3 linked regions of the Alligator mississippiensis genome follow. The protein of the gene in region 2 interacts with the protein of the main gene of each other region in a biochemical or structural test. Links are inferred from orthologs where the notes say so. Each region holds a gene or a part of one and is shown on either strand. Other genes may lie near its edges. The genes, in order: CAPN2, ATXN3 and RAD23A.

Evidence for each region.
Region 1: of the proteins of ATXN3 (region 2) and CAPN2, one has a biochemical effect on the other in vitro, tested with the Homo sapiens proteins (2 studies listed by BioGRID). The link is inferred for Alligator mississippiensis from reciprocal best matches to the Homo sapiens genes ATXN3 and CAPN2.
Region 3: the proteins of ATXN3 (region 2) and RAD23A form a complex in vitro, tested with the Homo sapiens proteins (2 studies listed by BioGRID). The link is inferred for Alligator mississippiensis from reciprocal best matches to the Homo sapiens genes ATXN3 and RAD23A.

What each region holds. Positions count from the first base shown.
Region 1 is NC_081824.1:181,598,763-181,608,680, forward strand, and holds the start of CAPN2 (calpain-2 catalytic subunit), read right to left. Parts: upstream 3,750-9,918; 5' UTR 3,605-3,749; coding exon 3,368-3,604; intron 79-3,367; coding exon 9-78; intron 1-8. UniProt on the Homo sapiens protein: Calcium-regulated non-lysosomal thiol-protease which catalyzes limited proteolysis of substrates involved in cytoskeletal remodeling and signal transduction. Proteolytically cleaves MYOC at 'Arg-226'.
Region 2 is NC_081825.1:275,332,880-275,342,269, forward strand, and holds the start of ATXN3 (ataxin-3), read right to left. Parts: upstream 3,857-9,390; 5' UTR 3,782-3,856; coding exon 3,758-3,781; exon of another isoform or gene 3,712-3,757; intron 1-3,711. UniProt on the Homo sapiens protein: Deubiquitinating enzyme involved in protein homeostasis maintenance, transcription, cytoskeleton regulation, myogenesis and degradation of misfolded chaperone substrates.
Region 3 is NC_081831.1:22,676,622-22,686,540, reverse strand, and holds the start of RAD23A (UV excision repair protein RAD23 homolog A), read left to right. Parts: upstream 1-5,983; 5' UTR 5,984-6,121; coding exon 6,122-6,193; intron 6,194-7,753; coding exon 7,754-7,915; intron 7,916-8,181; coding exon 8,182-8,351; intron 8,352-8,863; coding exon 8,864-8,919; intron 8,920-9,153; coding exon 9,154-9,281; intron 9,282-9,795; coding exon 9,796-9,871; intron 9,872-9,919. Other genes in the region: CALR (calreticulin), read left to right, coding at 692-793, 1,166-1,369, 1,840-1,934, 2,023-2,232, 2,343-2,456, 3,402-3,545, 3,875-3,967, 4,406-4,600. UniProt on the Homo sapiens protein: Multiubiquitin chain receptor involved in modulation of proteasomal degradation. Binds to 'Lys-48'-linked polyubiquitin chains in a length-dependent manner and with a lower affinity to 'Lys-63'-linked polyubiquitin chains.

The sequences.
Region 1 (9,918 bases), on a different chromosome or scaffold from region 2:
TGTCTTACCTAAGGCTCCCTGGCAGATATCTGTGCGGGTGGCACCTCCAACAATGAACTGAGGATTAGAGCACAGCTCCTATAAGTGAAATAAATAAAGCATTTAATAAATAGACAGGCTTTGTACCTACACTGGGGGCTTTCATTATCTTTCTCCTTGCAGATAATCCTACTGTATCCATATATGTGGCCACCAAGTGTTGTGGTGATTTCCATTACAATACAACAAAACCACTAAAGGAAGGCAACATCAGAGAAATGAAGGAGATCAAGAACAGAGAATGGTACTGACACCACACAGTAGGGAAGGGCCATTATGTCAACAGGTTTTCACCAAGGGTGCCATGTGATTGCTAATCTCTATCAATCCATATACATAGACACGTGTGTGAACAAATTAACCTACCCTTTGGTTTTCAATACCACATCTGAAAGACCCCAATGGAGTTAATTGCAAGGGACTTCTATGCACTTTGGAATGACTTACAACTGAGTTAACACTTCTAGTATCTTAATGGGTATTTGGAGGAAGCTTGAAAGGAACAGGCTGTTTATATCACCAGGTATGGAGACTGAGTAGTACGTTGCACAAATCACTCCCCATGTTTGCACTCCCTACTTTGCTAAGGAAAGCAGTTTTCTAAGGTGACGCATTATAACTGTGAAATGAATGGGCATTCATTTCTAGTGGTGGAAATTTTCCACGGCTAGAAATGTTTCCGGGAGAGGGAGCAGTACAGGTATCTAGCCTGCAACCATCCCCTCTCCCCTGTCTCTTCACCTTCCTTAGACCAGGGTGATCCCAGTCTGGGGAAAGCATAGGGAGCAATGACTGCTCCAGTTCTCTTGCTCCCAGGGGTACTGGAGCAATGGGGCAAAGTCCCATGCCCACACCTCACACCGGGACCCTGGTGAGAGAGAGCTGGTAGGGAGAAAGCAGCAGCTGTTCCTCCCCTCCCAGTAACCCTGGTGTAGGGAAAGCAGGGAGCCTTTCCCCACTACTTGACTACTCCTTGGACTAGGAGGAGGCAGGCACCAGCTGCTCCCTTGCCTTTCCTGGTCTAGATGTAGGAAGTGTTTCCTCACTGCTCAGTCCCTCCTGGTCCCTGAAGGAGTCAGGTGGCAGTGAAGTGTATAGGCTTTCATTCCCTGGGAGAAATCCTCCCAGGAGTGACCTCTACAGAATCAGAGATGGATTATTTTTTCTCCTGGAAACACCATTTTTGTTTTGGGAGAAACTCTGTGAATGCCTATATGCTCATGGTTTCTACCAGGACAGCTAAGATTTTCCTGGTAGAAATGTAATGCCTGCATGGGTTGTGACCTGTACCAAAGCAAACACGTTTATCCGGGAATTTTAGGCTGTAAGGCAAAACAGCAGGTGAAGTTTATTCTTTTCCTTCCTGAAGAAATAGAATTCGCCAATGCCCTAGGCTACCAGCCCTGTCACAAAAGTGCCTTTTGACTGCATTTTCTAGTTATCGGGCTCCTGCCTCTGAAGATTTTTCCATTTGTTCTTGGACTTGTTTCAATGGTCTTTGGACCAAATTCCTTCCTGTTTGCAATTCTTTTGAGTTTAAAATGTGTTATGCAAAGGCTAAATCAGGGCCTTTGCAAAGGCACAGAATTCTGACTGACACTTAGAACAGCTTTATTCAAATGTACACAGCTTTATTCAAATGCAGAGGAGGAGCGCTGAACATGGTGGGACGGGGTACTACTAGGTTGTGGTGTTTTTTTGTTGGGGGAAGATTTGCAAGGGGTGGGGGTTTGCCCAGCTGCCTTTCTATATTAGTAAAAGCAGAGGGAAGCATAGCTCAAAAGTTGGGGTGGAGAAGGCAGTGTGACTGGGAAAACTGAATTGAAATCATGGTGACTTAGAAAATGGAGGGTGGCACAAGCAACCCCGAGTGCTCGGGGCACAGGAAAAGTACAAGTTCTGAGAAGGGCAAAGCCCGTTGCAGCACTTCTAAAACCTGACAGGTATATTTTACAAGAGACCTATGGGAGTGCAGAGCTTGGTGCTCAGGGCAGGGATAATTTGCAAGAGCTGGGCACAGATTCATACCTACTTACACCAGCTGTATCCAAACAAATTATAGTCAAGAAGGAAATGTGGACAAATGGATCGACTCACATCCCAAAACAGCCGGCTGGCACTAGAAGAGTATAAGTCCCTGCACTAGATGTGTGTGCACATGCAACGCTATATATATAGGAAAGCACTGAGGGCGCACAGAGAAAAATGAATGTGGTTTTTCTTACATGCCTTTCACTTCCTGGAATACTTGCACTGAAAATAAACATAACTGGCTGGCTTCAACTACTGGCTTCCAGTTTACAGGGAAAAAAATGTTTACTTGTATTGAGCTCAGGATGAGCAAAGCAGTCGACTAAAATAAGAAGTTTGTGAGTGATTCTCCACTCGCATCAATTTTACCCATGTAGCTCCACTGACTTCAGCAATTGCTCTGACTTAAATCTCCTTCAGAAGTAAATTAGGTGCTCGCTCAGACTGAACTGAATCTTGCTACAATTCGAAAAAATCCACTGAATCTTCATTTTCATTTTTGTGCCTCAGTATTTAAGTCCTAAGAGTCCCAAATTTCCTACCAACTTTCCAACTAGGTTTCTATAACAAAGAGCATTGGAGAAATCCGAACAAAACCTCTGAGGCGTCTGAGATTAGCCTGTTTCTATACATCATGGAGTTCCTAATTTCCTACATCTCCAGGCTCAAGTCCTGGCTGTGTGACAGCACCACACACCTCTCAAGTGCCTCCCTGGGTCCTCTGGCAGCACATTCCTACTGCAGAAGTCAGTACTGTACTTTCTTGGAAACATTCGCAATCAATAGCTAGGTTTTCACTGTGGCGTGCCGCAGTTTAGAGAAGTTGTATTTCTCCTCCAGCGATAGCTGCACATGGCACACAATCAAGTACTGCTATTTATCTGGGGGCCCTTCAAGACAAGGGAACTCTCAGCCTCTGTTTCAGGACAACATTTTCTATCACTCAGTCAGGTTTGATTTAGTACTTATCCTGCTAAAAATGGGCCCAAGATAATAAATGTAGATCCAGACCCAAGCCTGGGGTAGTTCTATGCCAGAGGTTGGTTTGGGTGTGGCCCATCACTAGGGAGAGAGACAAGATTGAAGACTTAGGTTGGATTCTCCAATGCATTGAGTTATTTCCACACAGTCCTGCCCAATTTGGTCCATTATACCTGACTTCTCCACCCACAGCAATTCCCACTGTGATCACTGCAACCTCCCCGCTTTCAGCCAAGCAAGCACATACAGTAACTGTATCACTTGGTGTTCACCTTTGATCTCCCTTTCTCCCTCCCCACAGGGCCCATTATCCTACCGTTGGTCTCTTCCATACGATGCCCTGAGTTTTGTATGAATTTGGTCCCAGTTCTTTGTACCCCAGAGAGGAGGCAGCTGCAAGGAAGGATGGATCTTGGAAGAGTTTCCCAGCCTCAAGGCACTCCTTCCTCAGAGTCTCAAAGTCCTGATTGAGGTATTTAATGGCTTTTTCATTGGAGCCTAAGCCCCTTGCTGTTTCTCTGTCCTTGGCTAATTTAGCTGCAATACCAGACATGTTTGCCTTCTGCTGCTGCTGCTGCTTCTGCGGGTAACATAAAAATGCGAGCCTTCCTGCTGCTCAGCAGAGGGACATCTGAGACCTAAAGCAAACAGCAGCAGCAGCAGTGTGTGGAGCCAGACCAGGGCGTGATTCATCGGAGAGAAACAAAAAAAACCCAACAGTGAAAGCAGGCGTGGCTAGTGCTTAAAGATGCAGCTTCTTCCTGGTGCCCCTCTTGTGATTTGAGTCAGTGGCAGGGTGCCCGGATGAGTCTATTGTTTCCAGCAGTGTATCTTGCAAGGCAGAATCCTCCTCATTGGGACGCTCCCAACCATAGCCTCTTAAGCAGCTTGTCTGGTTTAGAAAGGTTCATTCCCTTAAAGAGGGAGCTTACACGAGCCAATATAATAATCCCCACTCTGTGGAACAGATCCTGGGGTATTTTTGCTCCAAAGCATGGACCTCTGCCATTTGACTTAGTTGTCAGGAAGAGCAGCCATAGGCTCTTAATTTGCCCCTGTGTGCCAGCTTGTCAGAGGGGGGGACAACACATTTAGCCACTGCGAGGCACACTTTGACTGCTAGGGAAACTTATTCTGAAGTCCTCAGCAGCTCAAATCCCCTATGGTGCATCACGTATTCATGAACAATGGCATGAGTTGTCAGCAGGAATAAAACCAAGGACTTTAGCACCAACACACAAGCCTTCATGGTCAAGACCAGGGGTGTCAAAGGTATGGCACATAGGCCAGAACAGGCTCATGAAACCATATCATCTAGCCTGTGGGGCTCTTGTAGGGGCCAGAAATAAGGAGGTGAGGTGGGGCCCACCGCCAAAGTCTGGAGCATAGTGTCCTAATGGGGACATCTATCAGCAGTGGAGGGGCAAACAATGAGTGTATGTGGCTCAGGAACCTGTAGTGGCTAATGCCACTGCTGCTTGCCCTACCACCAGAGGTAAGCCTGGATCCAGCCCATGAGGAGCCCTACAGTTCAAAAACCAGCCTGGGAGTCAAGTGAGTCTGACATCCCTGATACATGCTAAATGTGATGTATATGCAGATTGTATGGAATATGAAGCCTTTGTTTTCTGCATTTTACTCTGAACAAGTTTGCACTTGAAAAGGAATGGGCCATTCCTGTATTTGGTATTTTACCTTGGGCTCCTTGGGAACTGAAGCATCAATGGAACTGGAGGATCATTAATTAAATGTAAGATCTTTCCTCCTGACAGGGTACGAAATGTTTGAAGGGAGCCTTGAATCTTTTCTACCAATGCTCTACAGAATACCCAGGAAAAACAGCAAACTGAATGTTTACTATGCAAATAGCATGCATAATCCCTCTCCCGTCTCTCCACCCTGCCCCCACAAATAATGCATTGTTCTGTTGTCTTTCCTGCAGTCCCAGATGACAAGATATTTGCAATTACCTCTATTATTGTTAATTACATTATTGCCTAAAGATCACAATCCCATTGTGCCAATCACTGTACAGAATAGTCCTTACCCTGGAAAGCCTAAAATCTAAATAGAGAAGATGGAGGAAGGATCTACATTTTACAGGTAAGACAACTAAGGCAAAGAGACATTAATGTGCTTTGCCCAAAATTATACAAAGTCTGTGGTGGAGCCAACAGCTGAAGCTTTGATTCATGGATCCTAACCCAGTCAGTGCTCTGCGCTCTTCTCCAACATACTGTAATGCAATGAATGAAGGCCCTCTGCTGTTCTGGCTCTCAAGCCATTGGGTGCTTGTGCTGCCAGGTCATGTGGAAAGTTTGCTAAATCACAAGCAAGCCCAGCATACCCAATAGAGAAGTATTTTTTTTAAATGTAATTTGTATCCAAGGCCAAATTAGCCAAAACTAATTCCAAATCCAAGAGTCGAACCATAAATGACCCTACTACCGGCAAATATCCTCCACCTGCACCTGAGGCTTCAGATGTTTCCTAAACCTTTGGTGGGCATCCTACATGCAGGCCCAAGCCCGGAGGCTTGGGGTTCAGATACCTTCAAGTTTTGCTTGCCCTCAGCCATAAGGTCCTGGGAGCAAGCAAGGGAGGAGACTGCCATTTCCATATGCTGGGCTTAAAGCTGCTGCACCTCGGTGGGTACTGAATCAGCCAGAAGAGCATCTCTCCTGCCAAGTGGCTCAGGAAAACTGCCTTCTTGCACCCAATAGAGAAGTTTGTTTTTTGTAAAAATCTCTCTCTCTCTCTCTTCCTCTCCCTCTCTCTAAGATTATATATATCTACACTCCGCATATCACACCGCAAAAAGAAAAAAAAACCTTCACAAGTTACAAAAAAACGCGCTCATGCACCCGTACAAAGGCCCACTGGCCACCTGAACCCGTTACAATATCCACATCATGCGCAACACACGCCAAACAAAAAGCATATCCTGGTCCCTCAGACCAGGCAACACTTCCTTTCCATCCCTGCCCCTCTTGCAGGGTCACATACTCAGTTCAAGTGTCTTCTCTCTTGCTGTCACTCCAGCTCCTGCTAGAGGACCCGCTGCTGTGGTCACTGTCCTCTGTTCCGCTTCTCCCTTCCTCTTCTTTGCTGCCACCGCCCCCTTCTCCACTCGGGGGATGTTGGATGACCCTGTGCCACATGTCTCTGTGCCAGGTGACTTTGGCAGCGTCTTCTCCATCCTCTACTACCGATTTCTGGTAGTAGGTCTAGAGTTCGCTCAGAGCCATTTTCACGCAGCCTGCTACCTCTACATCCATTTGCCTGTGCAACAGGAGGTTCCTGGCCTTCCACAGGGCACTCCTGACGCAGGATACAAACTGGTTGAAGCAGGGCAATGGGGCCCAATAGAGAAGTATTACATCAACATAAAGACGATGTTCAGGCAGTAGGTATCATAGCTACTGTCCTTCTCTGAACAACCACTCTCAGGTCCCTCACAAGCTGTTTATTACTATATTGGGGGTTTGTATACCCCACTTTGTGCAGCACTTATCAGTGCTATGGGCTCACTTCTGTGCACCCTGTGCAATCATATTGATGGTGGAGGTTGCACACAGAAATCAGTCTTGTGAAGAACAACAGTAAAAGACTCCAGCCCTCACCTGTCTTTAAGCAGATCCACCCTTCAAGGACTGCTTTGTTCACCCCTTCTGCAGCCTGAATCACAAACCCTGGTGGGTGCAGCGAATGTAACATTCCATTTAGAAGGAGAGCTGCGTGGGTGAGTACAGGGTGGTGGCACTAGAATAAAACCCTGGCTCTTTCAAAAGGTTTCTTTTGTCGTTCAGGGGAAAAAATTAACAAGCCAACCAATAAAACCCATTCCATCTCACTTTGTCCCTGCTTTCCTCATGTACAGATCTCGCATTTAAGTGTTATCAGCTGTTCACACTTATTCCTTCACTCTTGAACCTGAATCTTACCACATACATAGGGTCCAGGAAAGTAGACTTTGGTTGGGCAAAGCCTCTGTGGGAGCCAAGGGAAGTTTCATATCACTGCCCTGGCCTCCAGTGTCTATAGCGGCAGCTGCAACTAAGAAAACGCATGGAAGAGGGACAGTAAAAGCAATACAACCCTCCCAGAAAGGGGCAGTTTGTTTGAATGACTCACATAGTTTAGAGAGTGACAGCATTAATGAAATTTGGTTTGCTTCAGATCCATTGTTATTCCTTCAATTCAAATCAGAATTAAGCTGGTTTGTGGGGTCAGGCTTATAAAAAAGGACTTCACAATACCCAGCCCAGCTGCTAGTGAGGTGGAGCTCAGGGTTTCCTGCCCCCGCCTGCCTGAAAGATGAGTTGGAGCATAGAAGGGAGGGGAGAGGTCACCAAATTCCAGAGTTATTTTTCCCAATTGAAAGCTTGTGCAGATTCATTTTTTCCAGGCCGTAGCACCACTGCTGGCCAGCTGAGCTGCCAACATTCCCCAGAGGAGGGAGTAACTCATGGAAGTTACCAAAGAAGCTTGACAGGACAACTGTACAGGTACAGCTAGTCTGTAACCAGGGCCCAAAAAAACAGTCATAGTGGATTTTTATTTGTAGAATAAGAAAAGCAGTGGAATTAAATTCAAAGAGGCCGGTCTCTCAGTCTCCCACGAGGCTAGCACGAGGTATTCTGCTGTACCAGGCAGTTCCTTTGGAAAGCTGCCCTGGCATAACAGCTGGCTTGAGCCAGGCTGCTGCAGTGACTCCTTGCTGTTGCTGTTGGTGCAGAGATGGGTAGGCCTGGCTAGATTACTGTCCCTCCCTGATAAGAATAGGCTGCCTGAGCTGCCCTGCTCATGCAATGTGCAGACTCCCAGCTGCTATTACTGATTCCTTTGAACACTGTGGGAGCGATGTCATTGAAGGTATTGAGCTCCCTACACACAAAGGACACTTGTACATATAGGGGGGTTTAGTCCTTAGGGTTGCATTCTATGCCCCCTACATTGAAATGGTGGGTTTTTAACTGAAACCCACCATTTCAATTTAAGGGTTTCCGTCACTGTTACGGCAAGGGGCCTGAACCTTTTTTTTTTTTGGCAGAGCATCCCTGCAGCCAGGGGGAGAGCTGCTGGTAGGCCGAGTGGCCCATGAGCTGCAGGGGGCCCTGGTCCACCCCTCCACAGTGGCAGTGCCCCCTGGGGCTGCCTGGGCAGGCTGCTAGCAGGCTGCCCCAGCTCGGAGGCTGTACCCAGCCCAATCACACTGTTCCCTGACCCTGAGCTGGGACAGCACCTGTCCTGCTCATAGCCTGCCCAGGCAGCCCAGGTGCCTGCTGAAGGCAGAAGCAGTGAGGGGCCTAATCCTTTTTTTTTGGCAGAGTCTGCCTGTCTCTCCCGCAGCTGGTAGCAAGCTGACTAATAGCTGCAACACATCATGGCAAACTAAACAACATCAGGGTGTAGTTTAGTTTGCAATGATGCAAACTCATTTAAAACCCTCAAAACTCCTGCACGTGTACAGTGTGACAAGCCACACAAAGTAACATTTTTGTTGTGTGTACATGGTAATGGCATCACATGTACAAGTGCCCAAAAGCTGTGGTGGGAAGGAAGCACCTGGACTTGAGACATACCAGTGCGGCTGCTAGGGCTCCTGACTGCTGGTACATGTGTGCTGGGGAAGGGTTCCTGCCGTGATCTGCTTGGTCTTTTATACAATGTACCACCTGCTTCATCTTCCAGAGGAAAGTTCATCTCATCAGGTTCCTGTCTCTGTTGCAGCCAAAAATCCAGTGACAGTTCAGAGGGAAGTGTGAGCTCTTATATACTGAGAAATTGCAGAGATCCCCCATGGGATCAACCCAACCAAGTTGCTCCCTCCAGAGGGAATCTGTGTGGAGGCATCTCTTGAGAACCCTAAGGTGGAAGGGCACAATATTTAGAAGATAGCCCTGTACACCTCTGTCATATTGAATGTAATGCTTGTAATAGTTGCCCATTAGCCAGTTTAGAAAAAGGTGAGGTTCATCTTCTTATCTAGGTTCATTGTTTTACCTGGCCTTACAACGAAGGTGCTTAAAGTCTTGGCTCCTCGATCTTATCTTTAGAGGCCTTTAACAAGTTATCCTAAGGACCAGAGAAAAATGACCCTTAAGCAAACATTCCGAGAGATCAAACCCCTAGAGGCCTTTTGAAACTGGGTTGTAAAAGAAAGGTCACTGCAGTGGTATGGAAAATCTTCCAAAGCAAAATTTAAGATATACTAAATAGTCAGCAGACAAATTCCGTTGCAGAAGACAAACTGACCACCTAGCAAAAAATCTGTTGAGTAAGATCTGAGCCCAAATTTGGGAGTAGTGACAGGTTTGGGTAGGAGGGGCCCAAGACAGCAACTCACTCAATAAAAACTGTAACCTACAGTCCCAATTTGGAGGTAACCTCACTTGAAGAACAACAAAGGAAGAATCGCAAGTGTAGGCCGGATCAGACTGATTACCTGAACCACCCTCTCCATGAACACGAATCCCTTAGTTCACGCTGACACCACAGAGCACCCGAGTGGGACCGAAGGAAGGGGACTTGTTCCTATCACTGCTGAGGCCAGCCCATTGAACTGTACTGCTGAGGCGAGCCCATTGAACCGTACTACTGAGGCCAACCCATTAAATTGTACTACTGAGGAATGAAAGCATATCTAGGTGTTTGGCTTCTCGGAATTCTAGGATTGTAAGTATAATATAGTAATAACTTTTCTAGTTCAAATAATATAGTTAATTGTAATTGTTTTAAAGAAGTGCATTTAGAGTATTGTTCCTTATATATATAGTTATCGTGTTTTTGATGTTTATGGTATTTCTTAAAATAAAATTGTGTTGTATAAATTAAGTGTGAAATCATTGTGAAATCGTGCAATTA
Region 2 (9,390 bases):
TCAAGTGAAAGCAAATCCTCGGAAAACTTTAAAACCCCCATTTCACACAGTCTTTGTGAGATTTAAACTGAACAAGGTTTGCCCTAAGGCACTGATGCTCACAGTTTTGGCCCCATGAGGCAGATAAATGGTGCAAGGCCTATCTGCAGGACAGATTGGGTCCTGTGTCACCCCAGCACACTGTCTTTGCCCACTGGGATCAGGCTGTGAGGTTTTGTGCTACCCCCACCTAGCCCCACATGCCAGGATCAAGCCCTGCACCACTGTGCCTAAACTAGCATGCAGCACCACAACCCACAGATGGGTGGGTATTCCTACAGGCCAGATGATACAATGCCAAGGGCTGGATCTGGCTCATGGGCCAGAGGTTTGGGGGGGGGGGGGGGGGGGCACAGCCAGGCCGCAACTTTTCCAGCCTCCTACTCCCCCTCCTACTAACCCAACTCCCCCACCCCACACACACCTAGAACAGGGATAGATGTCTGGCTTGGCTCGCCAGCCCCCTAGCATTAGGGGTGAGCAAAATATGGCATGTGGACCAGATCTGATTGGATCTGGCCTGCGGGTGGGCCCCTGTCAATTGACTGTATCTGGCTTGGCGGTCCCCACAGCACTCTGAATGGGGCCAGGCTCTGCCCGAGGTAGTGCCGCCACGCTCCCACCCATGCCTGCCAGGCACCACCGCTCCAGCACACAGCTTCTCAGCGCTGCTCTTGGTGCAGCTGCAACCACCTGAATACTGCTCAGTACCCCTGGTCTCTAGCAGCAGCTCTTCTTCCTCCTCGTCCATGTTGTGCCATTCTGTGAAGCAGGGGTAGGAGGTGACTGGAGACACACGCCAAGCCAGGAGATGCCCAGCCGGGATAGGGGGGCTGCAGCCAGGTGGCTCCTGCCCCAGCATGCGAGGTCCCGATCCCAGCTCCAGGCCACCTTCCATCCATTCAGCCACCCACAGGTGACTGTGGGACTGTGGCAGACTGTCATGGGCGGGGCTCAACCCCATGTGGGTGCAGCAGCAGGCCAGATTGGAGGGGGGGCAGCGCTGACTGCACTTGTACCTGCCCCTCACCTGGGTGAGCTGTGCTGCACATGCCCCCTTCCATCTTTTTCCAGTACCTAGTATGCAGGCAGCTGCCCACACATGTCCACACGCTCCCCACAGCATACAATAGTAAGACTTTATTTTGAGCTATTATACAATTACCTCTATATATGGTACTCAAAACATAAATCAGGACAGAAAATCTTTTTTGAGATAAAGTTTTAGTAGATGTTTGGATTTTAATATAGGATTTTAAATAAATTATAGATTTTAAAAAACAAAAATATCTGAAAGATTTTGTGTGCAGCCCTCAATAGCTCACCAAAACTCATTAAGTGGCTCACCAGCCAAAGTAATTGTCCACTCCTGCTCTAGCAGCAACTTATAGCTGTAGTTTCTAATCAGGCTCCTGCTTACTGCCCCTTTTGTGGCAAGTCACAGTTGTGCAAGTTCAGAACAGTCAGAGAAGATTTTAGCCTAAATATGTAACTTATAAAAACTCGAGTTAACATTGATGCTGATTGACTTCTGAATGTAGAATGAATACAACCAAAAATCTAACTAAGACTGGGGACACACCTCTTGGAGGACAATCACTCCCTCCCCAAACTCTCAGTTCTAATTCTCAAAGGGAACTTACAAAACACTGTCCGTAGACGAGCCTATGAACTTCACTTTATGACTCTACTGGAAACAAAAAATCATGGACTCAAAATAGACATTGGTTTTATGACACGTTACAATCTATCCGACATCCGATTCACCAGGTACCTGCCTGACCTGACCTCTTACATTCTTCTTTTCCCCCACCTTTTCTCCTCTCCTTTTCCATACTTTTCTGTTCTTTATCTTCCTGATTTCCATATATTTCCTCTCATTGATGCCTCTTTTTCACCTTGTATTATTGCCTCTGTATGTTCCCTTTAGCCTTTTTTCCTTCCTTAGCTTCCTTCCTCCTCCCTTCCCTACTTTACCTTTTTTCTAATTTCTACCTATTTATATTTTCACTGACATCCTGTCACATTTCTAGCTTCTCTCAGTTCTGTTTTCCTAATCTCCAGCTATTCCCTTTTTCACAGACAGCCTCTTTTCTACCTTGTATTCTATCAGTATAATGTCTCCCTTCTCTTTCCCCTGCCTTCTTCCCCCTCCCTCCTCTGCCTTACCTTTTGTCTTTCTAATTTCTACCTATTTACATTCTCACCGACATCCTGCCACACTTAACTTCTCTCATTCCATGGAGTCTAAGACCAGCAGAGACTCCCTATGCCTGAAGAAGGGTGACTGTGCCTGAAAGCTTGGCTAAGGACTTCCCCCCCCCCTCCCCCCACTACTCAGTTGGGGTAATAAAAGATATCACATCTACTAAAATACCTTGCCGATAGACATTTTGAGAAGCTTGAAGTATAATATGTAACAAAGCCCATTTATCTTCAAATAAATTGGGATAGGACTAAAAGGAGGGATGGACAGCACAAAAGTATGGTTCAGATAAGGCAAGGTTCTTTGAGTAGATGTGGTATCTTTCATTAGACCAACTAAATAGTTGGAAAAAAGGTCTTTGTAAGCTTTCAGGCACAAGCACCCTTCTTCAGGCATTGGGAGACTGCTCTGCTTCCGAGATCTCCAAGGCAGGAAAGAAGCCAAAAGTGCTACAAGACATCTGTGGAAATGTAAATAGGTGGAAGTTAGGAAGACAATTGGTAGAGATAAGACAGGGAAAGAATGCAGACGGTAAGCTCAGGCAGGTACCTGGTGAATCAGATGTCAGGCAGGTTGTAATACGTCACAAGTCCAATGTTTATATTAAGTCCATGAATTTTGTATCCATTAGACTTACAAAGTGAAGTTTTGGGCTCATCTATGAAAGATGTTTTGCAAGTTTCTTTTGAGGATTAGCAAAGAAAACTTACAAAACACCTTTTGTAGATGAGCCTACGAACTTCCTAGTCACTGAAGGCTGCTATTCCCTCCATATTAAACACTAAAGCTAACTTCCTGTTACAAGCAAAAGGTTTAATTTTTTTCCCCCTCAGTTTCCTTGCCTCTTGACTCACCCTTTATGTCACAAAAGCTCACATAAAATAAGTTACCTTAGAGCAAGGGTGGCCCATGAGCCAGATCTGGCCCTTGGCATTGTATCATCTGGCCTGTGGGAATACCCACCCATCTGTGGGTTGTAGTGCTACATGCTAGTTTAGGCACAGTGGTGCAGGGCTTGATCCTGGCATATGGGGCTAGGTGGGGGTAGCACAAAACCTCACAGCCTGATCCCAGTGGGCAAAGACAGTGTGCTGGGGTGACACAGGACCCAATCTGTGGGACCTGTGGGGCCAGGCTGGAAAGGCCCCTGCTACACCAGCCCCACGGGCTGGGGGAAGTAGCTGCAGCACCCCCCTGCGACTGCAAGACCTCCAGTGCGCCACTGAGGAAGCATTTATTCGAGTCCCACCAGAACAGGCTGGGCGAGACCCCATGAAGGCCAGCCCAACGCCCTGCTCGAGACGGAGCGGGGGTGCCTGTACCAACACCGTCTGCGCTCGCGGGCCTGGGCCCCGGCCTCTCTACGACATCTGGCGAGAGGCTCCCTCGCACTAAGAGGCCCGCCCTGCCCTGCCCGTCACCTGACGCAGGGTCCCGCCCGTGCCCGCTCCCCACCCCGCTCTTACCGGCGCGGAACGCCCGCCCCCGACCGAACCGCTCCCGCCCGCTCACCCTCTCGTGGAAGATGGACTCCATGTTTATTTGTCTCGAGCCAGCGGCCTCCGCCTCACGTGACAGCGGCCCAGCCAATCGAATAGCGTTTCACCAGCAGCCAATCGCCGCAGCAGTCCCGCTTCCTTCCCTGCCCTCAACGCGGCCACGTGGCTCTCGCCCCGCCCAATAACATCTCGACAGGCAGATCATGTCTGCGGCAGCTGGGCCGGCTGGGGAGGAACGTGCTTCCGGAGTAGCGTCACTGCCGCCGGCGCGGGCTCCCTCTGCAGGCCGGGAGGATCCAGACGCTGGCGCGGGGAAGGGAGGGCTGCACGGGCGCGGCCGGCTAGCGCAGCAGTGGCGCCCGCTGCCGGTTGCGGAGCGCTGGGTATCCTGGTCCGGTTCCGCCAGCCCGGGGATCGGTAGGTCTGGCCGAAGGGGTGAATTAGGAAATACATTTCCCAGCGCTTCTTGAGCTGCACGCGGGGCATTCAGGCACAAAGACGATGGCATTTTCACTAGGATCTACACAAACCTCTCCCCCGGGCACAACAGGCAAGGGGAAGGAGTAGGGAGTTATTTCTAAGCAACAGGCCATGTCTGACAATAATACTGAAAACAGGAATGAGTGAAAGAGAAGACACGGGAGAAGGGAGGAGAAGGTGTATCTCACCAAATTTAACCTCATTCATTCTCCCAGAGGCTGGTACACGAGACAGAGTGGCCAGGCAAAGACCACTGCTCCCCATCATTGTCATATCCAAACACTGAAATCCCAGACTGATGACATGGCAGCATCATTAGTTGCTCCATCCATGCTGTTTAGCTGGCTGATGTTTCCAGCTTAAAGAAAAATAAGCGTGTCTCACTCTTGGATGCTTCAGTTGGGCTTTGCCTTCTTTCTCAATCATTTGAGGTCCCTCTGGGGCTGAAGGGCCCAAGTCCTGAGCTAGGAACAGGAAGGCTGGCAGTTTAAGTCTGGTTGTAGGAAAGTGATCTTAAGTCTCAATTTATGGGCTGGGGCACATGACTTCTGAAGAGAGGCTGAGGGAGCTGGGCTTATTTAGTCTGGAGAAGAGAAGACTGAAGGGGCATTTAATAGCAGCCTTCAACTACCTGAAGGGCTCGAAAAAGGATGGAGCTGGACTGTTCTCAGTGGTGGCAGATGACAGAACAAGTAGCAATGGTGTCAAGTTGCAGCAAGGGAAGTTTAGGTTAGATTTAGGAAATATCACTATATCATTCACTAGGAGGGTACTAAAACATTGGAACAAGTGACCCAGAGAGGTGGTAGAAGGGCCATCCTTGGAGATTTTCAAAACCCAGCTAAGCAAAGCTTTGGCTGGAAGGATAGTTGGGCAGGGGGCTGGACTAGATAGCTCTGAGCAGGGGGCTGGACTAGATGACCTCCTGAGGTTCCCTCCAACCCTAATTTTCTACGATTCTATGTTGAGCTGTCACTTTCACCTCTCCCAAATGGACTTCTAGCAGACTCTACTTTTGACTGCCATCTTGTTTCTCAGTTTCTGGGATGAAATAAAAAACTGGGAAGTTCTATTTATACTACCTGATGACTAAAAATAAACCCTTCCATTAGCTCTTTCCATAACATCCTTCTAAATTCAAAACCACTAGGATTTTGTTGCAAGTTAATACTTGTATCAACAACTGGCAAAACTTTCAGGGCATGGGCACGGGCACCTAGAAACACCGCCCCCCCCTCCCAAACAGGAACTTTTTAGAGGACTCAGCATTGCTCTGAGGCACTGAACCAACATACAGATTGGAAGAAAGTTATAAGGTTTTAGGGTCTGACCTTTTCCTGTTCTGCAGAAGAGTCCCCATAACAAGAAATGCCACAGCAAGGAAAATGAGAATTGCCAGAGCTGGTCACACCAAAGGTCACTGATAGGAGACAGGACACTGATCTAAATGAACAAGCAGTAGTTCTCAGCATTTATAGACTTAACACACCCCTAGGAAAATGCCAGCTCTTAGCTTTCACTCATTTGTTACTACAGAAGATATAGTAATTCTCCTGTTGGAAAGAACTTGTAATGTTTTTACTACTGTGGATTCCTATTCAAAGTCTCTGGACTTAGCTTGTGATTCATGTCCATACACCCACCACTGCTAACTTTGCCACAGCACCCTGGTTGAGAATCACTGCTTTAGAGGGAGAAGATATTTAGAAAATGAATTCAAGGCTGCATCATACAAATTCCATATCACAAAAGGTAGAATTAAAAATCTGGATCCTTTGTGACAGCTGGAAATTATGTCTGTGTGATAAAGGTGCTTGCTGAAGGCTCTATGAAGATTAGACCGAGTGTTTTTCTGTATTTGTTTAGATATTAAGACAGCACTGTTGTGGAGGAGGTTTTGCCAATGAGCACCAACAGAGTGCACCTCAGCCCTGTTGGCCTTGGAGCCAGGGGCAGTAGATCACCCGGTAAGAGATGTGATCCGGCGATTAGTGCAGCTTTTACCCATTTTGCAGAAGCCAGGGCTGGCTAAGCCAACAAAAACTGCCAAGGCCATGGTGGTGGCCTCAGCAAAAGACAAACCCCCTGATCCCCCCAAATGGTTGGAAAAAGCTGGAGAGGGCCGGCCCAAGACTCCACGAGCGAAATTGTGGAAAGACTTGTTAGCTGCCAGTTTTAATAAAGTGCAAATTGATGGAGTGCCCACCAATGTTTTGGAAGGGCTGTGGGCTAAACACTGCAGTGAAAAAAGCAAGCCAAAAAGCAGAGCCATCTGCACCACCAGCAGGGTCACCAGAGGGATTCTCTGCCCTGAGGGCAGAACTCTTGACATTTTCCCAGGCACATGCAGGACTGCTAGCCTTTACACCCCCTAATTATGTGGCTTAGGAAGCCCGGCCGACCCAAGCCCCAATGAAAGGGGCCACAACGGGGGCAATAGTGGGCCGGGGACCGGTATCTAAAGTTAATATTGGCCCCTTGATTAAGATACCTGTACAGATTCAATTAGGTAAAAGTAAAAAGTCCATTGATATGCTATTAGACATGGGTGCCCAGATTTGAATTTTAGATTCTGCAGATTGGAAGGGGGAGAAAGGAACCCCTTATCAAGTAATTGGAGTTGGAGGCACCAGACGACCAGGACATCTGGTCCAAGCAACCTTCGCGTTACCTAATGACTCTAAGGTAACAGCAGCAGCAGTGATACTTAAGGGGGGACCAAGCTTACTGGGACTTAGTGTACTAAGAGAACAGCGGTTTGCCCTTGAACAAAAGAATTGGCAGTTTGGGTGCGCAGTGCCTCACTGAGAAACAGAAGAAACAGCTATAACAGCTGTAACTCGATGTAACATGATCCCACTAACTCTGCCTCCCATGAAAGGAGTACACAGACCCCAGTATCGAACTCCCTCCGAGGCCACCAAACCTAGCCAGTGTATCATAAGTCAGCAGTTAGAAGACGAAACTATTATCCAAAACCACTCCATATAACAATCCAGCATGGCCAGTGCACAAGCCAAATGGAGGGTGGTGACTGACTATTGACTTTCGAGCTTTGAATGCTAATACTGACCCCTTGATGGCTGTCGTCCTGTCACTACCAGCCTTGACAGAAAGCATCCAGTGTTATGGACCTGCGTGGATGGGATCCGTTGATATCAAAGACATGTTTTTTGCTATTCCCATCCAGGAGAGCCACTGGCCAGTATTTGCTTTCATGTGGATAGGGCAGCAGTATACCTACACCGTGTTGCCCCAGGGGTGGATACACAGCCCCACCCTGGCTCATGGGGTTTTAGCTACAATAGTTCATGAAGTCCAAGAAAATATAGATGATATCATAGTAGGCAGTCAAGACAGAGAGGCTGCCACCAAGGCCTTTGAATCATTAAAAGAGAAAGTGCTTACCTTTGAATTCACGCTGTCTGAACAGAAAATCCAAAAAGTAGGGTCCCAGTGTGAATTTCTAGGAATAGAATGGCAGAATGGGGGGCCCACAATACCAACTGAGGAGCTGCGAAATATAGTGGAGACCCCAACTCCCACTAACGTGAAAGAACTGCAAGCCACTCAATTTTTGGCATATGCATGTTCCTGAGTTTAGCGTATTAGCTCGTCCCTTGTATAACCTATGTAAGAAGAGAACTAAATGGGAATGGGGTCCTAAGCATAAATATGCCTTACAAGCCCTTAAAGAAGCAGTAACTGTTCATGCCTCCCTAGCAGCACGACGTCCCGAAGGAGAGCTTTGGCTCCATATAGGCGTCTCAGAAGGAGGACCACACTGGAGCCTGTGGCAGGAGTCCTCGGAAACAGAAGGAAAACCCCTTGGATTTTGGAGCCGAGGCTGGAGAGGGGCGGAAGCAAGGTATACTCTCTTAGAACAGAGGTTGTGTGAAGCAACAGCGGCCCTGGAAGCCACAGAAGCACTGACAGGAGAGTTACCCACAGTTATCACTACTCTGATACCTATTCTCGGAATGGCTCTGTCAGACTTCCAGCTACCACCTGGGGGGAGAGCCCAAAACACCACAGTCCAAAGGTGGATTTATTACATTTTGAGCCAGGTCCAACGAGTAACCCCAAAGGGATGCCCTGCATTAGTTGAAAGAGTCACAGAAAGTACAATTAATGTTTATCCTGATCAAACAAGCTGCAGTGAACCTTCACCCATCAAAAAAGCACCTCCTTTCTCACCTGAAATGGAGACCTCAGCCAATGTTAAAGTCTAGTTTACAGATAGGTCTGCTCGAGGTCATGCCTGGAGAGCAGCTGCCTTGAGGATTCGAGATGGCAAGAAAGTAGTATTACAAGGCCTCGGAAAAAGCGCGCGCAGTATGCCGAGCTCCAAGCAGTGCTCGGCATGGCTGTGCGGGAATTAGTAGAAGGTCCATGTCCTAGAAGGCCCATTTATATTTATAGTGACTCCTGGATGGTAGTAGAAGGATGTACCAAGTGGTTACCCCTATGGAACAAAGAGAATTTTAAAAGACGAGGACAAGACATTTGGAGCCATGAGGAGTGGAAGGCCTTATGGGAGTTAGCCCAAGATTAGCTTCCTCTATGCATCCAACATGTGAGTGCAGCACATGGAAGTAAGGCAGGAGAAGGCCTGGAGGCAAAGTGGAATAGACGAGTTGATCAGCTAACAAAAGAAGAGAGCACTGAAACCTTGTATGTTGAAGAAAAAAAAATAAAGCAGCTAGTCCATCATTGCCCAATTCCTTCTCCCACTGTATACCTGGGGAACGAGCCGCAGAATGGCTACATCGACAACATGGGACTCCCCAGGCATGATGGAACCGCCCGCCTGGGCGTGTCTTGGGGCATTCATGTAACTAAAAAAGAAGCACAAGAAATAGTCAACACGTGCATCATTTGCCGCGAGGTCAAAATGAGACTAAAACTCTGCCTGACTGTCCCGTTGTCATTAAATGAAGGAAAGGTAGTGTGGCAGGTATGGCAATGTGATTTCATAGGGCCCCTCCCTCGGACTTCCCAAAAGTGACAGTATGTGTTTGTAGCTGTAGAAGTTGCCACAGGAATAATGTTTGCCTGTGCCTCAGCGAGAGCCCAGGACACTTGTGCAGCACAGGAAACTCTGCTAGCTGTGTATCCACCACCTACAGAACTACAGAGCGATAATGGCCCGCACTTCCACAATCA
Region 3 (9,919 bases), on a different chromosome or scaffold from region 2:
AAGGGGCAGCAAAGATTTAAGTGCCGTGTTTTGGGCTGGGCTGCTACTAGCTGTAGTCCTGGGCAGGCCACAGCAGCTCCTGACTGTCCCATCATGCCCTGGGTGGGAGGGGGCAGGGCCTGGGTCCAGGTGGGTTGTATAGCAGGCCTGGGTGCTGTACCATGGCAGACTTTGTACCTACAGAATGGGACCCAGGCCTCCAGCTGAAATGTCTCCTTCTGGAGATGTGCTTAGACATGGTCTCCCCTCAGTGTGGAGAAGGGACTGGACTTGGTGGCAGTGTGTGTCTGCTATGTATCCATTGCCACAGAGGTGACTGCATTTGTGTAGCAGGGGACTCCATCACCATGGATCTCCATCAAGCGCTGCTGAGATAAAGGCAGAGACTCAATTGTGAGGGGTGGGAGCAGGGTCCAGTGGCTGGGGCAAGGCATTGGCCTCTGAACTGCTGAGTTCTATGGCACTGTAACCATCCTAGGTCACAGCTTCCCTCTGCCTCAGTTTACCTGGTGGGTATGTATCCTGTTCCTCTCATCATTCTTGTCATCTGCAGTGGGAAGTAGCTTAACCTAGCAGCTTAACCTGGCAGTTTAACCACAAACCTACTTGTGTCCGGAGATGCAGGGAGGCCCTCTTTGCTGCCCCCTTCCCCCACCGTTTCAACTCCAAACCTTGTATCTCCCCTTCCCAGATACCTGGACGAGCCGCTGGGTGGAGTCAAAGCACAAATCTGACTATGGGAAGTTCAAGCTGACGGCTGGCAAGTTCTATGGGGACAGCGAGAAAGACAAAGGTGGGCACATTTCCTGCTGGTGGTGAAGGGAGGGGGCAGTCTATGGGTCCTCTTTTTGCCCACCCCTTGGCATCTCTGCTCTGTTCTCACAGCTAGGGTGAGTTGCAGGGTCCCCTCTGCTGCATGCTGCCCAGTGGGGCTGCATCCCATTGTGGACTCTCTCCAGGGAAGCAGTCACTGCACCCCCCCCCCCCCCGCCCCCCCCCCGGCAGCTTTGATCCCACAGGTAGTCATGGTACCTGCCTCATGACCTAAGGACCAGGTAGCAGGCCTCATCCCTCACTGCAGATGGGCAGAGCCAGTCCTTTCACACCTCCATTGGGGCTCTGCCTTGGTGGGGTCCTGATTGCACCCTCCCCCACTCCCCTGCAGGAATCCAGACAAGCCAGGACGCCCGCTTCTATGCCATCTCATCCCGCTTTGAGCCTTTCAGCAACCGGGGCAAGACGGTGGTGGTGCAGTTCACAGTGAAGCACGAGCAGAACATTGACTGTGGTGGGGGTTATGTCAAACTCTTCCCGGCCAGCCTGAGTCAGGAGGACATGCATGGAGACTCTGAGTACAACATCATGTTTGGTGAGCAGAGGGGTAGGGGCAGCTGGTGCAAGGCATGAGTCCATTTGGGCCCAGCCAGGTTCATGGTGTTCCACTCTCCTGTGGCTTCAGTTGTCAGGGTCGTGCTAGGAGTGGCTTTCCTTCCTTCTCATCCAGGGGCTGGTGTCATGCTTCTCCACAGGGGGGAATGCAGCATCTTCTCTACATGAGGCTTCAGGGAGCCCTTGGGGAGATGCAAATTCTTTCCCATGCTGGCCAGGGGACCAGCAGATCAGGGCGCATTGGGGTCTCCCAGGGGACCAAGCAGTGTGTTTGAGGGGAGGGGGAGAAATGGCCTGTAGGGGAACTAGCTCAAGTGGGTCTTTCCTGAGCTCACTGCCCTTGGTGGTTGGATGTAATGACCTTGGAGCAGGTTCTCCCAGCTCCTGCAAGGGGTTGGCCGCAGGTGCCCTCCTCATCACCATGCTTCCTAATGGCACCTTGTCCCTCAGGTCCTGACATTTGTGGGCCTGGGACCAAGAAAGTCCATGTGATCTTCAACTACAAGGGCAAGAATGTGCTCATCAACAAGGACATACGCTGCAAGGTGAGTACCCAGAAGGGGGGGGGTGTCTTCCCATGCCCTTTCCTCCATGATGCCTTGGCCCCTGCTCACCTGGCCCCTCCCTGTGCAGGATGACGAGTTTACCCACCTGTACACCCTCATTGTCCGGCCCGACAATACCTATGAAGTGAAAATAGACAATGGCAAGGTGGAATCGGGCAACCTGGAGGACGACTGGGACTTCCTGCCACCCAAGAAGATCAAGGACCCTGAGGCCAAGAAGCCTGAGGACTGGGATGAACGGGCCAAGATTGATGACCCCACAGACACCAAGCCTGAGGTGGGCACAGGCTGGCAGGAATGACTTGGCTGGGGCTGGGTGGTGGGAAGGATAACACGCAGTGAGGCCCCACTGGGGGAGTCTGACTCGTGCGGGACTCTCACTCCCAGGATTGGGACAAGCCTGAGCACATCCCTGACCCTGATGCTAAGAAACCTGAGGACTGGGATGAGGAGATGGATGGCGAGTGGGAGCCTCCGGTTATCCAGAACCCCGAGTACAAGGTGAGGTGGGCCAGGCCTTCCCATCCCCTTTTCCTTGCAGCCTGTACTGGAAGCTATATATATACCCAGGCCTTGTCGGGTGAGGGGGGAGATAGGGGTACCATACTAGAGCTATAACTAGACTGCCAGTGCCACACATCCTTGTAGAAGCCATGAGTACCATAAGACCACCTGCAGAGTCCTGCTGCCTGGCTGGGAGTGTCAGTTATGGCCTCAGCAAGAAAAAGGTTCCCTCTTCATAAACTTGGAGCTTGCTGCTCCTGGGTCCATGTAGGGTTGGGAATCTGCTGCATACCCAAAGAGATGAGCAGTCCTGAGAGCTGGTCTCTGCAGCAGCCCCTGCTTGTCCTAGAAAATTAGGGTTGGAAGGGACTTCAGAAGGCTGTCTAGTCCAGCGGCTCTCAACCTTTCTTTGTACCAGCACCCATTTCATAAACATTGACCAGTACCACCCCTGTGCCCCTCGCTCCTGACCTGCTGCCCCTAGGCCCCAGCTACATATCTTATCTAAACTTGCCTTACTGCAACTAGAGAGCATTGCTCCTTGTTTTGTCATTGGCTACCACTGAGAACAGTGTAGCTCCATTCTCTTTGGAACCACCTTTCAGGTAGCTGAAGGTTCAAATCCCCCCTCAGTTGTCTTTTCTGCAGACTAAATAAGCCCAGTTCCCTCAGCCTATTCTCATGGTGAGGGTGCTAGGGCACATGACTTATTTTCATTGCCCTCCGCTGGACTGTCTCCAACTTGTCCACATACTTTCTATAGTGGGGGACCCAAAACTGGACAAAGGATTCTAGATGTGGCCTCACCTGTTGCTGGGGGAGTGTAACCCACAGGTTGCCATTGGCCCTGGGGTTGCCATTGTGGGGGCCTGGGCCCTGTGGTGGTGCTAGCGTCCATGACCTGAGCCAGGTGCTCACTCCCTTCCCTCTGCCTCGCTACAGGGGGAGTGGAAGCCGCGCCAGATTGACAACCCTGACTACAAGGGCAAGTGGGTACACCCTGAGATCGACAACCCTGAGTACACGCCTGATCCCAGTCTATATGCCTATGACAGCTTTGGAGTTATTGGCCTTGACCTGTGGCAGGTGTGATGGCTGGGAGTGGGGAGCAACAGTGTTTTCTAAGAGACTGAGGGTGGGGGAGGCTGGCTGATTTCTGGGGCAGGTGGATGGTAGCTGGGGTCTCAATGATTCTGCTGCGCACTCGAGCAGTGAGGTGGTATAGGTCATGGAGCCAAAACAGGTACCTCTCCTGGGGGCTGGAGGTGGGGTGGGGAAATGGCTGTGGTGTGGGAAGTTGAGTCCCCTCCAGGCCCTGCTGGGTGATCCCCCTCATAGAGCAAGTCCCCTCAAGGGATCTAGCTGCCCCGCTGCTGCTCCGTGACGGTCTTGCTCTCTTCCTCCATTCCCTCCAGGTGAAGTCTGGCACCATTTTTGATAACTTCCTGATCACAGATGATGAGAAGTTCGCAGAGGAGTTTGGCAGTGAGACGTGGGGGGCCACCAAGGTATGGGAGTTAGTGTCATGGCACTACCCTTATCTCCCAGGAGTTAGTGGGCAGAGGCTTGTGGGGGGGTAGACATGCCCCCTTCTCAGGGTATGGAGCAGAACTCCAGGCCTCTGCTTGGCACTTTCCTAGTCAAGATTTCTCTTGGGTGATAGGGGTGGGGGACAAATCAGCCCCTTGCTAAGGGCTGAGGGCACAAGGTGCTTTGAAGAGGTAACTTTATTAGTGCTCATGGAGTCTGGCCAGGGTCCCCACAGCAGACCCTTGAATTGGGTCCCAGTGATAGTGACCTCTATCTGGGCGTTGGACCTGGAGGCACAGCTCTGCTTGTCCCCAGGGCAGGGAGATGTGGGAAGTAGCAGAGGCTGGGAGTGAATGCCCAGCCAGTAGCCCTGTCTTCCCTGCCCCTGCTAATATGGCTGCATCCAAACTCTCTAGGATGCAGAGAAGAAGATGAAGGAGCAGCAGGATGAAGAACAGCGCAAGAAACAGGAGGAGGAGGACAAGAAGCGGAAGGAGGAGGAGGGCGAGGCCGAGGGGGACGAGGATGAGGATGAGGATGATGATGACGAGGATGAGCCTGAAAAGGAGGATGAAGAGGAGACAGAGGGGCCTGGGAAGGATGAGCTGTGAGCACGCAGCTGTTGCTGCCCCCGCCTGCAGCAGCCGTGGGAAGGGGATACTGTAATGTCTCTATGAGACCCGAACTTTCTTTTTTTTATTGGTGTCTTTGTTTTGTTTCTGTTTTTGTTTTGGGGTTTGTTTTTTTTTTTTTTTTGTCCTTATTCCCATTTCCCCTCTTTTTCCCCCCCCCTTTTTTTTTTTTTTTGAAACATGCCCCCATTGCCAGTATCAGCCCCGGTCCTGTGCATAGAGAGGGCTAGGCCTTGGCCCTAACAGCATCCAGGGTCTAACTTCCAGGAGTTCACCTGTTGATAGCACTGGCTGCAAGGGATTAGCAGTGGGCTGGCTTCTGGCAGCTTCTCTCTACGAAGCAGGGCATGGAGGCTAGAAATCAGCATCTCTACTTCTCCCAGGCACCTCCCCTGCTCCCCCCACTCCCTTTTTATTCCTTCCAAATAGAAACTGTCCCCAGCCCCCTGCAGGCTTTCAGAATATGGGAAGAGGAAGCAGTGTGGGGGGTTGGGATTGATACTGGGGGTTGGGGAGCACCATCCTGCAGGAGTTTCTCTTCCCAGCCCAAAGCTGCTGGGTCTCTACAGCAGGGCTGCAGCTGCCTGCTCCCTCTTTCATCCCCAAAGCCGGCCCAGAAGTGGCACCTACTTTCAGCCGGCCTCTGAGCTGTGCCATATCCCTAATGGGTAGCCTGCATAACAGCCTGTTGCATCTGGGGGTCCAAAGCACCTTTTTCTGTAACAGGTGGCTGGAGTCCCTAGGGAACTGCACAGGCCTTTTAGGTAATGGGGGGGGGGGGGGCACTGCAGGGTAGAATGTAAAGAGAATCTCCTGGGTGAGGATGCAGAGCTGTGGGGAGGGGGGTGGGGAGCAGAAGACTGCAGGGCCAGGCTTGTTCCTACTACTGGAACTGCACCTGGGGGTGGGTGAGTGTTTGAGGGCTCTGGTCACACTTGAATGTATTGAGGACTGAAGAAAATTTCTATTAAATTAACTCTGTGTCTAACCCAGGTGCTTGTCTTTGTGTCCTTCCTCTGCCTGCTCTGCCAGGGGGGCCAGAAGGGAGGTCAGGCTTGCTGCAGCAGGAGCTGTGGGGGTCCCTGAGGATAGGAAGCCAGTGATCCTCTCAAGGGAGCAGAGTCTTGCATTCCCCTAGGCTTGGCTCCGCCTGCGACCGGGCCAGCCCACCCCCGCCATGTTAGCCCATTAGGGCTGCCATTTTATGCCCCTCTGTCATATGACCACTTTAGGGCCGGGGCCCCTACACATAACCTATGCTTCGTCATATGACCCGCTCCCCGCAGCCACCTCCCTTAGCACGTGACCGCCAGCAAGGCGTTTTTTCGCCTAGCGCACATCACTTCCGGTTGCCTCGTGTCACGTGCTGGGGCTGCTGCGCGTGGGAGCCGGAAGCCGCGGGGCAGTAAAATGGCAGCGGCGTGAGTTGCATGTTGTCGGGGCTGCTGTATACGTTGGAAAGAGCCGCCCGAGCCTCAGCCCGGCCCGGCCGCCGCCGCCATGGCGGTGACTATCACCCTGAAGACGCTGCAGCAGCAGACGTTCAAGATCCGTATGGAGCCCGACGAAACGGTGAGGGGCGCGCGGGGCGAGATGGTACGGTCCGAGCCCGCGAGGGGGGATGGGGATGGTGGTCTAAGCGGGGAGGGATAGAACGGTTCAAGCCCAGTGGGAAGGACGGAGTGGTACAGTCCACGCTGGGAGGCAGTAGAATGGCACGGCTCCACCTCGCTGCGGGGGTGCAATGGCATGGTTGGAGCTGAAGGGAGGAATAGTGTGGGTCTCCCCCACCCCGTGGTGCAGTCTAAGGTCCGGTCTCTCTGCCTTTTAAGCAGGCGTGGCCAGGCGCTGCCCCCCAGCGCCCCCTCGTGGTCCGGGCTCTGCTGCCGTCCCCCGATACAGCTCCTATAGGTCTCCCCCATGGCCTCCAGGTGCAGGGAGGGGGCAAGATGATGCCCCAGTGTCCTGCCTCCCTCCAGCATCCCAGCTCAGAGGTGGCTGCGTCTTGGCCCTGAGCATGCTATCTCCATGCAGAGTTGTGTAGCTGCACCACCCCAGAAGCAGCTGTATCTCAGTGGGGGGGGAGGGGAATCTGTATACCCAGCCCTTGATACGTGTCCCCCTCCCCAGAACCAACTCTATCTTGGTGTGAGAGGAGTGGGGGGCCCTGTATACCATGAACAACTGGTGCCTCGGATCACTGGGGATCACATGCCCCCCCCCCCGATGCTAGTTAGCGATGTGGGGGGGTCCCCCCTGCGGCCAATCTCACTCGCCAAAGAGCAGTTGTGCCACTTCTGGAAGCTGCGCCCCTGCTTTTGCTGGTGGCCCCGTTCCTCAGCTGGCACTCGCAGGGGGGGCACTGGTGCTCCTGCATACCCCCTTGCCTGTCGCCTAAACAGGGAGTGCAGCCTGACAAGAGTGCATGTGCACCCCCTTACATATTGCCACTGCTGTATACCCACTTCTCAGTGTGGTCCACCCCAGAGGTGGCTGCATCCCAAACCCAGGGAAGATTCCCCCTATCTTAGGCTGTGAGTAACAACTCTGCACCTTCACTGTCTCAAGGCCTGTCACCATTGCCTGAGTCCTTGGCCTCAGGGTGCAGCTGGGGCTGGGGTGATGCCAATTCCCTCTTCAAATAGCTGGCATCCTCCACAGCTCCCTGGCAGCATCAGGCTTAATTTTGGCTCCCTCCAGGGCAGGAGAAGCCAAAAATATTGCTGGACCCTGCCCACGGCTGACGGGGTATGGGATGGGCTGCAGCTGTTCTACTCCCCTCTCTCGGATGGGGGTGGGGGGCAGCACCTTTGGCCTGAAGGTGTGCCATGCTGGGTGTCCAGGCCTGTGGATTGGCCTCTAGAAAGACTGAATATGGGAAGAATGGGGTCCGTTTGTCAGGGACCTCCCCTAGCCATTAAGTGTGTGCTTCCCCCTCCTGCCACTGGCAACATGGTTAACAGGCTTCAAAGAGCTTTTCTGCCTTCCTTTCCACCCTAGAGGTGGCTGCATCTTGGCCTGGTGGCACTAGGGGGCATTGCATTGCAAGGTGCAGGCTGGGGGGCTGCAGATTGTGGGGGGGGGGGGTGGTCTCTGGGTTGGATCCCTGGGTGATGGAGGCTGCAATGGCAGGTGCGGGTGCTGAAGGAGAAGATTGAGGCGGAGAAGGGTCGGGAAGCTTTCCCCGTGGCTGGGCAAAAGCTGATCTACGCTGGGAAGATCCTGAGCGATGATGCGCCCATCAGGGAATATAAGATCGATGAGAAGAACTTTGTGGTCGTCATGGTTACCAAGGTGGGTGTGTCCCCCACCTGACACCCCCAGACCCATTTCTCACCAGCATCCAGCCTGGGAAGCACAGATGGGTGCAAGAAGCCCCTGGGGTCCTGCCTTGATTCCCTGGGCTGGCATTAGGGGGTGCTGTGCTGCTGGGAGCATTAGTGGGCAGAGTCTGCGCTACCACTGGGGGTTGGAGGGGTTGGCTGCTGCTTGAAATGGGAGGGGGGAGTGCAGGGGGCTGGAGTGGTTCCAGCTGCCCCACTCTGCTGCTTGTTCTGTAGGCCAAGTCTGGCTCAGGGGCCCCCATCCCCCCTTCTGCAGAGCCCTCCCAGCCCCTCCTGGCTGAGCAGCCCCCTACAGCACCTGCAGCTGCCTCAGCCCCCCCAGCAGCACCCAGCGAGAAGCCCTCCCAGGAGCCAGTGGTGACCAACCCCCCGGAGTCTACTGTGGGGTAAGACACCCCCTATATGGATGCAACTCTGCCATGGTGGGTTGGCGGCCAGAGCCAGGCATCCCTGAGTTTGAAGGAGTGGGGCTCCAGACTCTTGGGTTCTGTTCTTGCCTCTCTGCAGCCCGGCTGCGTGCAAGCAGCTTCACTGTTGTCTGTCTTGGTTTTCACATTGTGGCAGTCCCCCTCCCCAAGAAGGAGAATGACCTTGTGTTAACAAGGCAGTTTTGGGAGGGTTGTTGGGAGAGTTTAACCCCTTATGGTTTCCCCCATGGTGCTGGGGGCCCAGGTCCCTCTGTGGAGGCTGCAGTTAGGGAAACTGAGGCAGGTGCAGGGACTTCCTGGGGAGGCGGTGGTGCCTTTACTCTTCACCCCTCCCCACCAGGAGGTCCTTCTGCAGCAGGAGCCCAGGAGCTCAGCCAGAGGGGATGGGGGGGGGGGGGGTCTCGAAGAACTTACCCCGGGGAACAGATCATCCTGGACCCGGCTACTATTTCTCTCTCTTAAATCTGCAGCTCTGTTCCCTCTTCAGGTAGCGCCGGGTGCGGCGAGGATGCAGCCTCCACCCTGGGTAGGTGAAGGCGGCTTTCCCCACTTCCCACTAGAAAAGGGCTGGGATTCCCAGGGTAGGGGTGAGGGGCAGCAGTCTGGGGTGGAGGAGGGGGCATGGAGCCAGGAGCTTGTACTCCTGGGTTCTCCAATCCTTTCTGCAGTTCTTCTCCAGCAGGGAGGGTTCCCCGTAGTAAAGAAGGAGGGGGGTTTGGCTCAGCCAAGACACCCCTGACACCGCACCCTCACTCCCCAGTGACTGGCTCAGAGTACGAGACAATGCTGGCCGAGATCATGTCAATGGGCTACGAGCGAGAGCAGGTGGTGGCTGCACTCCGAGCCAGCTACAACAATCCTCACCGTGCTGTAGAGTACCTGCTCGTGGTGAGCCCCTCCCCTGGGTGCCAGGACAGCTGGGTTCTGCTTCAGCTCTATGGAGGGGAGCAGGGATGAAGGATCAGAGCAGAGGGGGACATGAAAGTCACCATGACTGCTGTGGCTTATCCCTAGCTCCGGGGAGGGAGGGGTGGGTAGGAGCTGGGGGTGAGGACCCAGGAGCCAGGATGCGTGCGTTCTATCCCTAGCTTTGGGGAGGAGTGGGTAGTGCTGGGAGTAGGGGGCAGGGAGCAAGGATACCTGGGTTCTCTTATCCCTAGTTTTGGGAAGGGGAGCAGAGGGGTGGCCTGGAATGGGGAGTGGAACCTGGGAGCCAGGACAGCTGGGTTCTCTCCTGTGGGCAAATGCAGGGAAGTGCTGGGTGTGGGGAACACCAGGGGTCTGGCTGTAGCCCTGAGTAGAAAAGGACCAGAACTCCTGGGTTTTCTCCAATGGATTTGGGAGGGGGTAGAGCTGGCAGCCAGGATGTCTGGGTTCCAACCTCTGCCACTGGGCCCCACAGGGCATTCCGGGCAGCCCTGACCTGGAGCGAGCACCCATCCAGGAGAGCCAGGCCCCAGAGCCACCGACATCTGAAGGTGGGTGAGCCCTGCATGGGGGAGAGGGGCTCTGGGACCCTGCCCCTT